Arabidopsis thaliana: one gene and its partner. The protein of the gene in region 1 purifies or fractionates together with the protein of each later gene. This does not show direct contact. Each region holds a gene or a part of one and is shown on either strand. Other genes may lie near its edges.

Region 1 (5,876 bases):
TGTTGTATCATTCCCCAAGGTGCTCAAATCAAATTAGTCACTCTCTTTTATCATCTTGCGAGGCTAATTCCAAAAGTATTAACAGTATAGTTGATTCTCAGAGCTAAATGATTTGTCAAAAGAAGCTGCACAAAATGATGGCCGACTAGCTCGGCTTCCTTTTAAAGACGGGAACAGAGAGTTGGAGGCACATAAGATCCTCTTGTCTCACATCAACAGATTGATTGAGGATCATAGTGTTTGCATCAAGGTACTATAGAACGCTTTACTCAACTAATTTCCACACAATGACTGACAATGTAGGTTTTGAAAAACGTTTATTGGTGGGTGCCTTTGCAGGAAATGGAAGAATGCTATTTTGTATCACAAAGATTTGCTGTTAGAAGGCAGATGGCAAGAGATCTCCTATACGGTGAGCTTCGTGTACTGAGATCTGCAGCTGAATGGCTCAATCATTATTGCACAACCTTGCTTTCAGAGACAATGTAATCGATTTTACAGTCTCTACGATAGCAATATACCAATAAATTGAGATATTGGAGTGAATAAAAAGATTAGTGTTACTCTATTTCTTAATCCGGAATTATACCTCGTTCCATTTCCGAAGCCAACAAACAAAAGAGAAATGATGAACATGTTGAATCAGGATGGTATCCAAATAGATGAAACCAGACAGAACCAAATTATACACCTCAAGTGAGGAAACTGATAGTAGAATCGGAACTGTGGTTTGTGAAATGGTAGTGGGACAATAAAGTGTACTTTGCCGGTTGATTTATACAGAAACTACTAGTGGATAAGAAGAAAAACATGAATAAAAATATCAGAGCAAAGCAGCCAAACATGTTTCCACTAAAACCATGTTGACTAGAAAATTGTCATAAGACTGAAATGAAGAAATGGCTTGATATACAAAGGAACGAGCTGTTTCTAAAGTGATGCAAAGTTTTATCTGCAAGTGCATATTCACAAAGAGTAATGGAGAAAGTTGGAAATTTCAGTTTCTTTGGCCTTAATACTGTCCTCCCAGTCATCCATTGAAAAGGTGACCAAAGTGAGGATTATGAGCATATGGGTTCATGATATATATGCCTTAACTAACTCCGTGTAGTTGCAGACAAGCCCTGTCCTTGGACATGTTATTTTACCTCCATTCTTTTCCGCCATTTCCTTGAGAGCCTGCAAGTTCATTTACCCATCAAATAAATAAAAAAAGTAACCCAACTTTAAATTTTTTGAACTGTATAGGATAGACTGATGTAACTGATCAAGCTAATAGAAAAAGATTCTAAAAAGAGAAAAAGAACAGAGAAGCTGAAGTTGTACAAGAACAGAATCAAACCTTGGTGCTGTAGACGTAGCCATTGGGCAGCACCTGTGGTGGGTTCTCTGTGTCCATTAGCTCCTTAGAAATATAGCAAACAAGCTTTGAATGGTGCTGCTTGGAGAACGGTAAAGGCAAAGCTAGCTTCCGAAAGTTCTCTTGTGAGAGAGGGTCCTCTTTGGTACAACCTTCTTCTAAACCATATCTGAGTCATATCAAGGTACAAACGCAACCCACCAGTAAGAATCACATTAGGGTGTCATTTCGAAAACTTACTTTCTGCCCCTTTATCAGATGCAGAAAATAGACAATCAAAAACATCAATTTTGATAGAGTTTGATCGTTACGGAGTTTTCAGCGCAGACAAGCCTGCCTGTAAGTAGATGTTCAATAAGGGTTCCATCGTCATGCCATATAACTTGCAAAATTCTTGTTTAAACTGATCAACTAAAACATCCCACTGTCGTAGTTCAAACAAAACCTGAGAAAAAAGAAAAACATATCTGTTAGTTGATTAGCCTAAATACATGCAATGATCAATTAAGATTCGACAAGAGTTGAAAGTAACACAACTAATTCGGCAATAAACAAAGACGAAAAAGATTACTGAAGCAGCCTGGTGTATGAAAGAAACAGTGAAATCTATATCCACGTTTTTGGGCCATTTCAGACAAAATCAATCATTAGGAAAAGATACAAGTTGAAGCGTCAATTTTCAACAGTTATATAATCAAAAGAAGGAAAACTTCACCTTATATTTTGAGCATTCTGTGGTACTTTTAAAAGCCAAAGTGGCCAGAACATGCTGCAATTCTTTCATATGGGTTGTTCCCCATGATGCCAGATGCTTTCGAGCATACTGGATTGCTTTTTTGTAGCTCTCAGCTGTATCAACTCGTACCAACTCGATGAATTCTTGCAGCCTTAGTTGGAACTCAAATTTGCTCTGTTATGAAAAGGAAAATATATAATTAGCAATGAACAATTATACATAGAGTTCTGGTAAAAAATTGGATACTTTAGCCAAACCACATGGAGTTCATAAAAAATGAAAGTAAAACTTAACCATGAGAGTACATAGAGCACGTACCTTTGACTTTTTCAACCGCGTTTTGTTATCAGCACACCATGTCAATGCAGAAGCTACCTCCCTATTTTTAAGGGCATCAATCACCTTCTTAGCTTCTCGAAATATGTCAATGTCGACAAGGTCCTGAAAAGATGAGATATTTATAATTAGCATTTCATAGAGATGCAGTACAAATCAACAAATCTGTTTCACTGCTTGTAAAAACGAAACAGCAAAGAATATGTTCTGATATATTAACCAAGACAGCAATATAGCATAATAGTGTGATATAATGAGTGTCAAGAGGATGAGAGAAACCATAATATTGCTGCTTTCCGAAAGCTTTGTAGCAGTCTCGAAATATGACATCCGCAGCATGTAGTCTACAAGAATCCGTTTCAGTTTGGTATTATTCCATTCAGTAATATTTTCCACATCTACTGAATCCAAATGATCGATGCGAGCACGACATCTCTGGGCTTGCAAATTCTCCACATTGCTCCCTTCTTCCAACTGAGATACAAAACCAAAAAAATACGTAAGCCAGGCCATATCCATGTGATGTTACTCCAGAAGATATAGAAACTATCCCAAATGATAAAAATTTAGAAGACAATGCAAATAGTCAGATGGGAAGTTCCAATGAACCAACTCCACCACTACATTGAATTCATCGAGATCCAATGTCTAGTGAGACATAATTGCCAAAGACAGATACTTTACTTTGATCTTCAACATCGAAGATCAAATTTTTTACAGATAAGTGGATATCATTTAGCAAAATCAGAAACTTTAATCGCTAAATTAATTGATTCAGTTTCGTCTACATAATTTAAAACACCGATCACAGAGGGAGAGAGACGGAAAAATCAACCTTTCGTTTGAGGCCTTGTAATCGAGTAACAAGGCAAGTAAGACGCGAAACGGTATCGTCTTTAGACCAATCGGAATCAGCCAATTCTCCGACGCCGTTAACAATGGTTGAGACCTCTTTCTCGAAAGAACGGTGATTGGTACGGATCGTCTTCTTGTAATGCTCGAAAGGAACGCGGAGGAGCTGGTGCTCAAGCTTGAGAGATTCCGTAAATTGATTCGATCTCGAAGACGAGACGACGACCGGCGACGGAGTGATCGTAGCGGCGGATTCCGTCATGACGGTGTCAGAGTTTCCGTTGGTGGCGGAATCGATTTCCATGGCAAGAAAATGGGAGGAAGAAGTTAGCAGAAATTTTGCAGAGAGAGTTTAGATTTTGCCTTGTGGTGGTGATCTTGATTGATTGATATATGTATGAGAAGAAAAAAAACTACAGAAGAAATAAATAGTGCCAAGTGAAACGGCGTCGTTGGTTTGTGGTACTCTATAGTTCAAAACGACAGCGTTTGAAAAGGTAGGAAACCGTCCGGTCTGATCTAATCCCTAACCGAGAGTATGTTTTGATTTTTGGGCTTTGTCATTTTAGTTTGCAGCAACGTTTGATCCAGTACCAGGTCCAGTTGATGAAACAAAAATAGTCTAGGATTCCCAATTTTTGATTAATATATAACTAGTCTATACAAAATATTAATATACAGATATTTTTAATTATTAAAAACCCTTTTTTTACTGAAATTAAATTTACCTTGTGAAAAAATATCTCAAAATAAAGTCTTTTTTTTTTTGGGCTTTCAAAATATTAGGACTGATCGTGATTATACCTAATATGTTATGAGTAAAACTAAAATATGGCCAAAGTATCAATGCAAAAAAAAAAAAAAAAAAAAAATTTAACACATGATGTGTGGTCAATATATAATTCCAAGTGTAAAAAAACTATATATAGATAATATTTTATTTATAGAAAATATAATTATAAATATATGATGTCAGATTTCTATCTAAAATAACGCATTACTTCTCTTTTATATTATTTCAATTTATTACGGGCAACTATGTGTCGAAATACTATATGTATTGTTTAAATACTAGGTGCTATTGCCAAACATAAAGAAGAAAAATAAAGCATGAAAGTAAATTGAGAAATAACCTTATCATTTTTGTTAGATTTCTCGACTTTTATACCAAATTTATAATTATATAATTGATTATGAGCGTAGTTGGTAATTTATAGTATTAGGTATGGTGGTATACATACACCTTCCCGGTCTCAAAGCTTATCAACAACAAAAACGGTATCATACCAACAATTCTTATCGTTATCACTTCAAAACTGTATCATAATTACCTCATATCACTCAAACCTATATATTTTATTATACTTATCTTAAAACAACTAAATACCCTACATTTAATTTGTAATTTACAAGTTTTTCCAATGTTGTTATTGATCACTGTTATGTGTTGTTAGTGAAAAACAAATAATTGTAGCCCCGCTCCTCCAAAAGTCCAAATGGCTCTATCCGCCGCGCAATGAAAGATTTAAAAAGGTTACCAGAAATACCCTTCACTGGATACTCTATTTACATTATCACACCGCCAATAAAGATTTTTGGAGCCGTTTTGTTCTTTTGGATTCTTCGTCGTCAACGAGACACTCTCACACTTCTTGCACTTCTCCCTTTAGATCAAATCCACGTTATCTAGCGCTGTTATTAAATCTGCGTTTCAGTTTCTTCTCCATTCGAATTTTCGATTTGCAAAATCGCTGTTTTATGGTATGTTCATAAATTCTAAAGATCTTCCCTTTTGAAATTTTAAAATTTTTCTCTGTGTTTCTTTGGTTTTCTTTAAAGCCAATTGTGTCGTCATAAAAAGCTGTCGCCTCTCAGTGTTTTTTTTTCCTTTTTCTTTCAATTTTCCAACTATTAGAAGAGAGTAGAGAGAGTAGAGTTGGATTTTCTGGCGACGAAATCGATTGAGATCGTTTAAAGAGAGAGCCTTTCTAGATTTTGTTAGTGTTCGAGTAATCTCGCCGAACATAATCTTCATCAACTTCTCCGCAAGTAGGATTTAGGTTCGATTTGTGATTTGATTAGTCTCTAGGGTTTATCGTAGCTTTGAAGATGCTTAGGGTAGTCTGGTCTTTTATTTTAGGCCTTGGCTCGATGTTTACTATGATAAGTCTTGAGTTTCTGAATCTCTGAGTAGAGTTATAGTTGATTATCTCGAGTCTAAGATCATTTATGCTGTTTTTTCTCATTTCTTTTGTTGAACTGGTTTATCTTTCATCGAGCAAATTGTTTGTAAGATTCACTTGGAGCACTTTTTTTGGAGATTGACATGAACTAATTTGCTGCAAAATGTGAACTTTTCCTAGTTTAGTGCAGGAGATATCTTACAATCTATTGATTTGCTTCTATATGTTTTGATTGCAGCTGCAGTTGTTATAGCACCTTTTGATTGGAGAAAACAATGAAAAAGCTCTTCTTTTTCAGATCTTCTGGTAATGGAAATGATAAACAAGTTAACTGCGAAAAAGAAGCGGATAGTAAGATGAGAACCCAAGCTAGTAGTCAGGCTGAACAAGAGTTCGATAGTCCTAAGTC
Region 2 (6,618 bases), on another chromosome or scaffold:
CCAAAACTCTACTCCTTGTTTGTTTAGAATTTTTATAAAAAGTAAGAGACAGAACATAAATAAATAATCTAAAATTCACATGAAATATTTCTTTCAAACAATTGCGTGTAGTAAAAAAAAAAGCGAAAGGCAGCAACAACTATGAACGTACCAGAGAGTTTAGACACTCAACAGGTAAGGAGACAAAAGCTGGAATCAAACAGGTGACAGCTTTAGTCGATGGATTTCTGCAATCAATTGTTTGCTCAAGTTATTGCCTCCTATAGTCGTTGAGTATCTACACCCTCTGATATATTTGAGGTTATTGCCACCTTCAACCAAAGCATGAGAAAAATATATATGTTCAACACTCGGTATGTTTAACTATTTATAGCCAAACTTTCATTTTTTCTTGCTTTCGCATCCGATGTGGGACTCATTGCCTTTTTTCACGTGGGTTTTTAATCACAAAAGCATTGGATGAAGCTAAATATGATCAATATAGACTCTATTTACATTAGTTATTGGGCTTTTATTGGATAGGTCAAATTTCATATTTACTATTATTTTGAAAATGTGAAAATTGTAATTATAATTATTAAATTTACATTTTAAACAAGAATTTGTTTTTTCTCGATTGTTTAAAACTGATTATAATTTACAATAATATTTATTTACCATCATAACATTTATACATCGTCACATGAAATTATGAAAAGAAAATAAAAAATTAAAGATTCTCTTCATAAAAATTTCTGTTTACCATAAAATCTCTTTTTGAGAATAATTTCAGGTAACCCCAAGCGAACAAAAGTTACAAAACCCGAAAGATACCGCTAAACCCGAACACCCCCACCGCTAATTCAGTTTTTCCATTTCTGATTTGAATGTTGAAAATCTTAATTTGAATCATCTAAACTTTAAAGAACCAATAACAGTGGAAGTCCCAGTGTCTTAACGTCGAACCCATTTTTCTAACTTTCTCCTTTACATAATGGAAAGTTCAACATAATATCACACAAGTAATGAACAAAAGCCACTTATGATGATAACGACCATAGAAAAACAGAGTTTTCAAAATATATGCGCGGCTAAGCCATTTTCATCTTCTTTATCTGTTGTTGTTAAGAACATGTCGAAGCCGGAATGTTTCACCTTGGTCTCCATTCAGTGACCGCCTTTCTAAACAGCACACGGTTAACTGTCTTAGCAGTTTCTCTAGATGGGATTGCAAGTGACAGCTTCTCTGCACATCTTTCTTATTTGGATTTGTTGATAGTATTGCTGCATTCACCGCATCAGCCACTAATTCCCTCTGTGAGTCTTCTAGGAAATACCAGACCGATGATTCCTCAGGCTTTTCATACGCGAGCAAAGCAAAGCAGTCCTGAATAATCAACAAGAAAATAGAGTTCCTAAGCGAAGCAGCAACATATATAGTCTCTGTATCTGAACGCAATACATACATATTCTCAGAAACCAGATCTTGCTTGAAAGAAAAAGGAGTAAAGGAGACATTGGTACCTCGACTATATCTTGAAATCCAGTTAACCCAACAAATTTAGCTAACTCGAGTCTGCCATAGTTCACACCTTCTTCAAGTTTTCCAACCTGTTTATGCCATGTTTTTCCAAAACCATATAGTTAGAGAAATAGCCCCATCTGCATAGATGTGAAAGTGAACAAAGAAGGAATAATCCAGAGAACTAACTTAAGGTGATATTTATACACGGTGACAAGGTTCCATGCATCTATGTAACATGGTTTCCAGTGTGTTATAGGTTCTGTGCATTTTTTCACTAGTTTATGGTTTAACACCAAAGTCCATCACACAGTTCAAGCAGCTAATTTTTGTATGAGACACCAAATCCATCAAAAGCTTCCTTAATTACAAAAATTTTATTCTTATATGCACAGAGAGAGAATATTTCTGACAAGTATTAAGAACACGAAATTTAGATGGTTAAGGAATGAAGAGCATACCCGTACTAATTCAATAAACTTTTGACAGTGAAGGAGGAAGCAAACTACAGATTTATCGTCCTGCAGTAGGTACAGCCGGGTAAGACTTCGTATCACAATCCTGTGAAGTGGATCATCTCAACAATATGATAAGAAATCTCAGTTCACCTGTACAATTTGGGGATACAACTTTTGGAGTTCCGCCAAAGCAGTATCAATCTCACCATTCCTAACAAGCTACACCCAATAAAGAATGAATCAGTCCAAATTCACTAACGAAGCAGTAATTTAGTATGGGTTTGAATAGGAACCAAAAAAAGCCAGATACAAGCCTAATAAAGTTAGAAGATAACATGTCTTATATGTTAAACCGTAGCAAGTTCAATACCTGTCTAAGATTCTTTCTCTGTTTCAAAGCATAGGATGAATCATCCTCGTCAATAGCATTTTCTTGATCTATATGAATTGGAGGAACTGTATTTTTAGTAGCAAGGTTGAAAGCATCGAGTGTCTCCTCATACCCATAGTGTAGCAGGTAGGTCTTGACAAGCCTAATGATAAAGAAAACAAAATTATAGATAAAGCAGAAAGCTAGTCCAGAAGGGAAACCAAGTATTGCAATTCAAAGTTAAAAAAGTACATGATCTGTTACTGCTGGGAAGGAGTGTACTCACCCATAACCAATGTTTGGAGGTATGGATATTTTTTCAATAGCCAATTGTTGCTTATTCCTCTCTGATGCTTCATATCCCTAATAATACAGAAAGAGGGAAACAGCCCTCGTCAATTACTTAATTTCAAACATATATGTAATGGAAAGAATTTTTATGCCCTACTTCAGTGTTTAAAGATTATAACTTGAGTGCCCAAGAGTTTGAGGTTTGATTACACAGGAACAGTAAAATAGCAAATGTGAGAGCAATGTCTACAAAGAGAACCACTGCTATAGATTCGGTAACCCCAGTACCAAGAACGGACATGAGGCATACCTATTATGTGATTTCAATAGCAGTAGTCCTGGTTACACCATCCTTACTTTAGTATAAAGCTATGAGACCTAATTAACCACGTTTGAAAGGATTTTTCCTCTTACCTTAATATCGAAAGCAAATTTCTTCTTCCCAAAATTGACTAATACCCTGCCAAAATTTCAGAAAAATATGCTTTGTGTAAGAGAGAGTGAGATACATGATGGCAATGGTATTGATCTTTAAAGAGAGAGTGAGAACATACTCCTCATTTTGGCTATGTACAGCTACAGTAGGGAATAGATGACCTCTTATGTCCTTGGGGATTTTCCCAACAATAGTTCCGTTTTTACTGGCACCAACAAAAATAATCAAAAATGTCATCAGCTTTAACAGACAAAGAGTAACAGGAAAATGAATGAATCATGAATTCAACTCACAGTAGTAATGAACTTATTTAAGTACCAAAAAACATGAAACAGTTTCTTTCTTACGTGAAAAAGAACTCCTGAGAAGCGTAGTTTATACCACCGCCAACTGCATCATCTTTTGTAAACTTTGGACCAAAAGGTTCACCTTTTCCCTGTCCACGATATAGGTATCCATCATCCCCATGATATCCACAGCTGTTCACTTCCCATCTACCATTACAAAAGAAAACTATAACCTCAAATTCAAGTATTAGGCAGATAAAGCTTCTTTCAAAGGCACTATCATCCATATTTGTAAACTCAAGAACCTAGCTTTCAAATAAACCACAAAGCAATGTCCTTCGAATTTCAGATTCTTCCCTAAACCACTTCTACACAACTGAACTCACCAGAAAGAACACACACAACCTAATCCAAGAAGCTAAATCTCTATAATAACTAAACCACAACTTGGATCCCAAAACCATACCACAAACCTCAATTTCTAAAATAAACCATACCTTAAACACAACAATGATCAAGCTACAAGCTAAAACTATACTTCTTGAACTAAATCCTTCAAATTCAGATTCTTCCCTAAACAACTTCAACACACAATGATCAACAAAGATTGGATCCAAAATCCAAAGATAAAGAAAACAATACCCAGGTTGTCTACGCATTTTGAAGCTTTCCTTAGTAAAACCAATAGCAATTTGTCCTTTAATACCAGAATCTTTAACAAAAATCTCAAAGTAGTAAGTAAGACACTTGATCGGAGCAGGTTTATTAGCTTGAACAACACCAACATCGTGACCATGTAGATTCGTATTCGTGTACTTCACGGAAAGCTTATCAGGAGAAACCACAAGAAATCCGCCGGCGCTATTGATCGTATTCAACTCCGTCGGTAATTCTTCTCCTTCGTCTTCCTTCGCATCTCGTTTAGCGGAGAGACGAATCTTGTCTAAGAAGTTTAAGTTCAGATCTTGACCGTTCTCGCCGTTGTTGGTTGTATCGCCGTTGGCGGAATTCGCCGGTGGTGGTGAAGAGTTCATTGGTTTTGGTTCCGATTAGAGAAAACCCTAGAAATTTTGAGATTAGGCTCTTCAGAGGTTTTTGGAGTCTATAAGAAGAAGAACACTGAATTAGAGAATTTGTTGAGATTTCTTCTTCTCTTTGATTTATTTTTTGATCCGTTGTTTATTTTTGTGACCCGCTAGTTTCGGTATTTGTTAGACTTATTTTTTTCTTATATATATTTCTCTATATAAATTTCATAAATAATATTTAGTTATATACCAATTAGTTGGCTGTTTCAATTCATAAAAAAACACAAACTTTTTTATAAAATGTAAAATTAATCCATGTTTTATCAAATTTAATTCATACACACTTTTAAAATGTAAAATCAAATCCATGTTTTTATCAAATGTGATTCATAAAGACTTTTAATATCAAAAGTGGTTTTATTACCAAAACAAAACTTAAAATAAAAAATATTTCAAAAACAAAAGAGAAAAAACAAAAGTTTCATGGCACACTTGATTTTTCCGATCTTGAACCTTCTACTCTCGAACTACTTGTAGTCTTTCGAGTATCTCCATGGTTAAACTCATTGGTATCTTCTGTGGTACCTACAATTTACAATGAAATTTAATTAATATAATTCAATTACCTATAAAGCTTTCAATTTAAAACTCTTACCTTCATAGTCAACAAACTTGCGTAGCCAATTGCGAGTACAAAGCAAACATGAACATTTTCTGGAAGCAAGCGATTTCTATATGGAGTCAAAACCCTCGATCCAATGCTAAAAGCTGAGTTTGATGCTACTTTAGTAATAGGAATGCTAAGGACATCGCATGTCATAGAAGCTAAACCGCCAAATCGATTCTGATTATCTTTCCAATAGCTTAAGACATCCAAATTTCGAAAAAGACTTTCACTCTCATCCAAATAAATATCCAAGTGTGTCTTTGTGTTGTTCACACCGTCTTCAATACTTCTTTCTAGTTCAAATAGATCTTATGTTACAAAAACTCACATTAAGTTAATTCACCAAGTTCCAACTTTATACAATATCATCAAATTCTTCTCGAGCCCTTTAATTTTTAACTTATAAGTAGTAGAATTTACTTTCTTTTAAGCTACTTCAAGCATCTTCAATTTAAGCTTCGGATCCAAAACTGCTCTCATAGCCAAAATGAGACTATAATCTTCCCAATACTCGGAAAATTTACCATGCATCTCTTGAGCCACTTGCTCAACAACATCATCATCACAAATAGCATACTTCTTCAGCAACAACTCAATCCTCCATATTTGTGTAAAGTATACATTGGATGTGGGATACTTAGAGCCTAAAAAGTAAGTGATAATAACACTAAAAGGTTTCAATAGATCAAAAATTTATCATTGGTATCAAAAGCTTTCATGCTAACAAACGCTTCTCTAAACTTCAACGCTCTAGCAAGCATTTCATCTTTCTACATGCCATGTTCATATTCCGAACAAAAAAATTGCATTCAAACGATTAAAAGAAAGAAAAAAAATTGGTATGCCCGAATTTTTTGTTGAATAATTACAAACTTTATTTTTGCATTCGAACTTATTTTTCCCCAAAATTGCTAAATCAAAGAAGCATCAGAACAATGAAGTTTATATGTGATATGTTTGTCTTTTGTTTTGATTGAATTTCTTCTTCATTCTTTTTTTGCATTATTGAAAATTATCAAACATTATTTCAATTTTAGAGGTTTGAAAATCTAAAGGTAAACTAGATAAGGATCCACGATGTGCAGCGTGAGGAAATATTTGTGGCAATTTTGGTTTGATAGTTTACATCATAAATCATAATCATAATATTTTCTATTTAATAAAATTTATTTTGTAATTTTCTGTATTTAATTTATTGTGTCATACTCCAATATAATTCCGCAATTGGATCAGTAAATTCGATAATCCTACGCTAATCCACCCAATGTTAAAATCCGTTGGATCATACTCTATGTTTTTGTAATCTATTTTGGATCTATACTCTATGTTCTTGTTTTTTTATAAAGAAAGAAAATGAATCAAATACTGAATGAGTTAAAACAATAGCAGACATACATATAAAATAGTGTGCACATTGAAGTGCTGCTAAATTTTTTAAAATCTTAAATATATTGTAGAGATTGTTAGGTTTAGGAGTCAATTTTAAATCTTCAAGATATGAAAAATTCTTGCAAATCAAGTTTAGTTCAAAATATATGAAAATTGTATTCTAAATTATTGAATGTAAAATATAGTGAAAA

The links.
Region 2: the proteins of AT3G55070 (region 1) and RanBPM purify together in Arabidopsis thaliana (affinity purification with mass spectrometry; 2 studies listed by BioGRID, with this or other methods). This does not show direct contact.

What each region holds. Positions count from the first base shown.
Region 1 is NC_003074.8:20,406,089-20,411,964, reverse strand, and holds AT3G55070 (LisH/CRA/RING-U-box domains-containing protein), read right to left. Parts: upstream 3,692-5,876; 5' UTR 3,589-3,691; coding exon 3,268-3,588; intron 2,907-3,267; coding exon 2,712-2,906; intron 2,538-2,711; coding exon 2,415-2,537; intron 2,271-2,414; coding exon 2,076-2,270; intron 1,806-2,075; coding exon 1,672-1,805; coding exon of another isoform or gene 1,668-1,671; exon of another isoform or gene 1,530-1,667; coding exon 1,343-1,529; intron 1,180-1,342; coding exon 1,078-1,179; 3' UTR 601-1,077; downstream 1-600. Other genes in the region: AT3G55080 (SET domain-containing protein), read left to right, coding at 1-19, 102-250, 340-489; AT3G55060 (CAP-gly domain linker), read left to right, coding at 5,743-5,876.
Region 2 is NC_003070.9:13,050,546-13,057,163, forward strand, and holds RanBPM (SPla/RYanodine receptor (SPRY) domain-containing protein), read right to left. Parts: upstream 4,549-6,618; 5' UTR 4,378-4,548; coding exon 3,986-4,377; intron 3,551-3,985; coding exon 3,404-3,550; intron 3,262-3,403; coding exon 3,175-3,261; intron 3,081-3,174; coding exon 3,035-3,080; intron 2,693-3,034; coding exon 2,616-2,692; intron 2,493-2,615; coding exon 2,330-2,492; intron 2,179-2,329; coding exon 2,110-2,178; intron 2,023-2,109; coding exon 1,963-2,022; intron 1,591-1,962; coding exon 1,504-1,590; intron 1,367-1,503; coding exon 1,091-1,366; 3' UTR 612-1,090; downstream 1-611.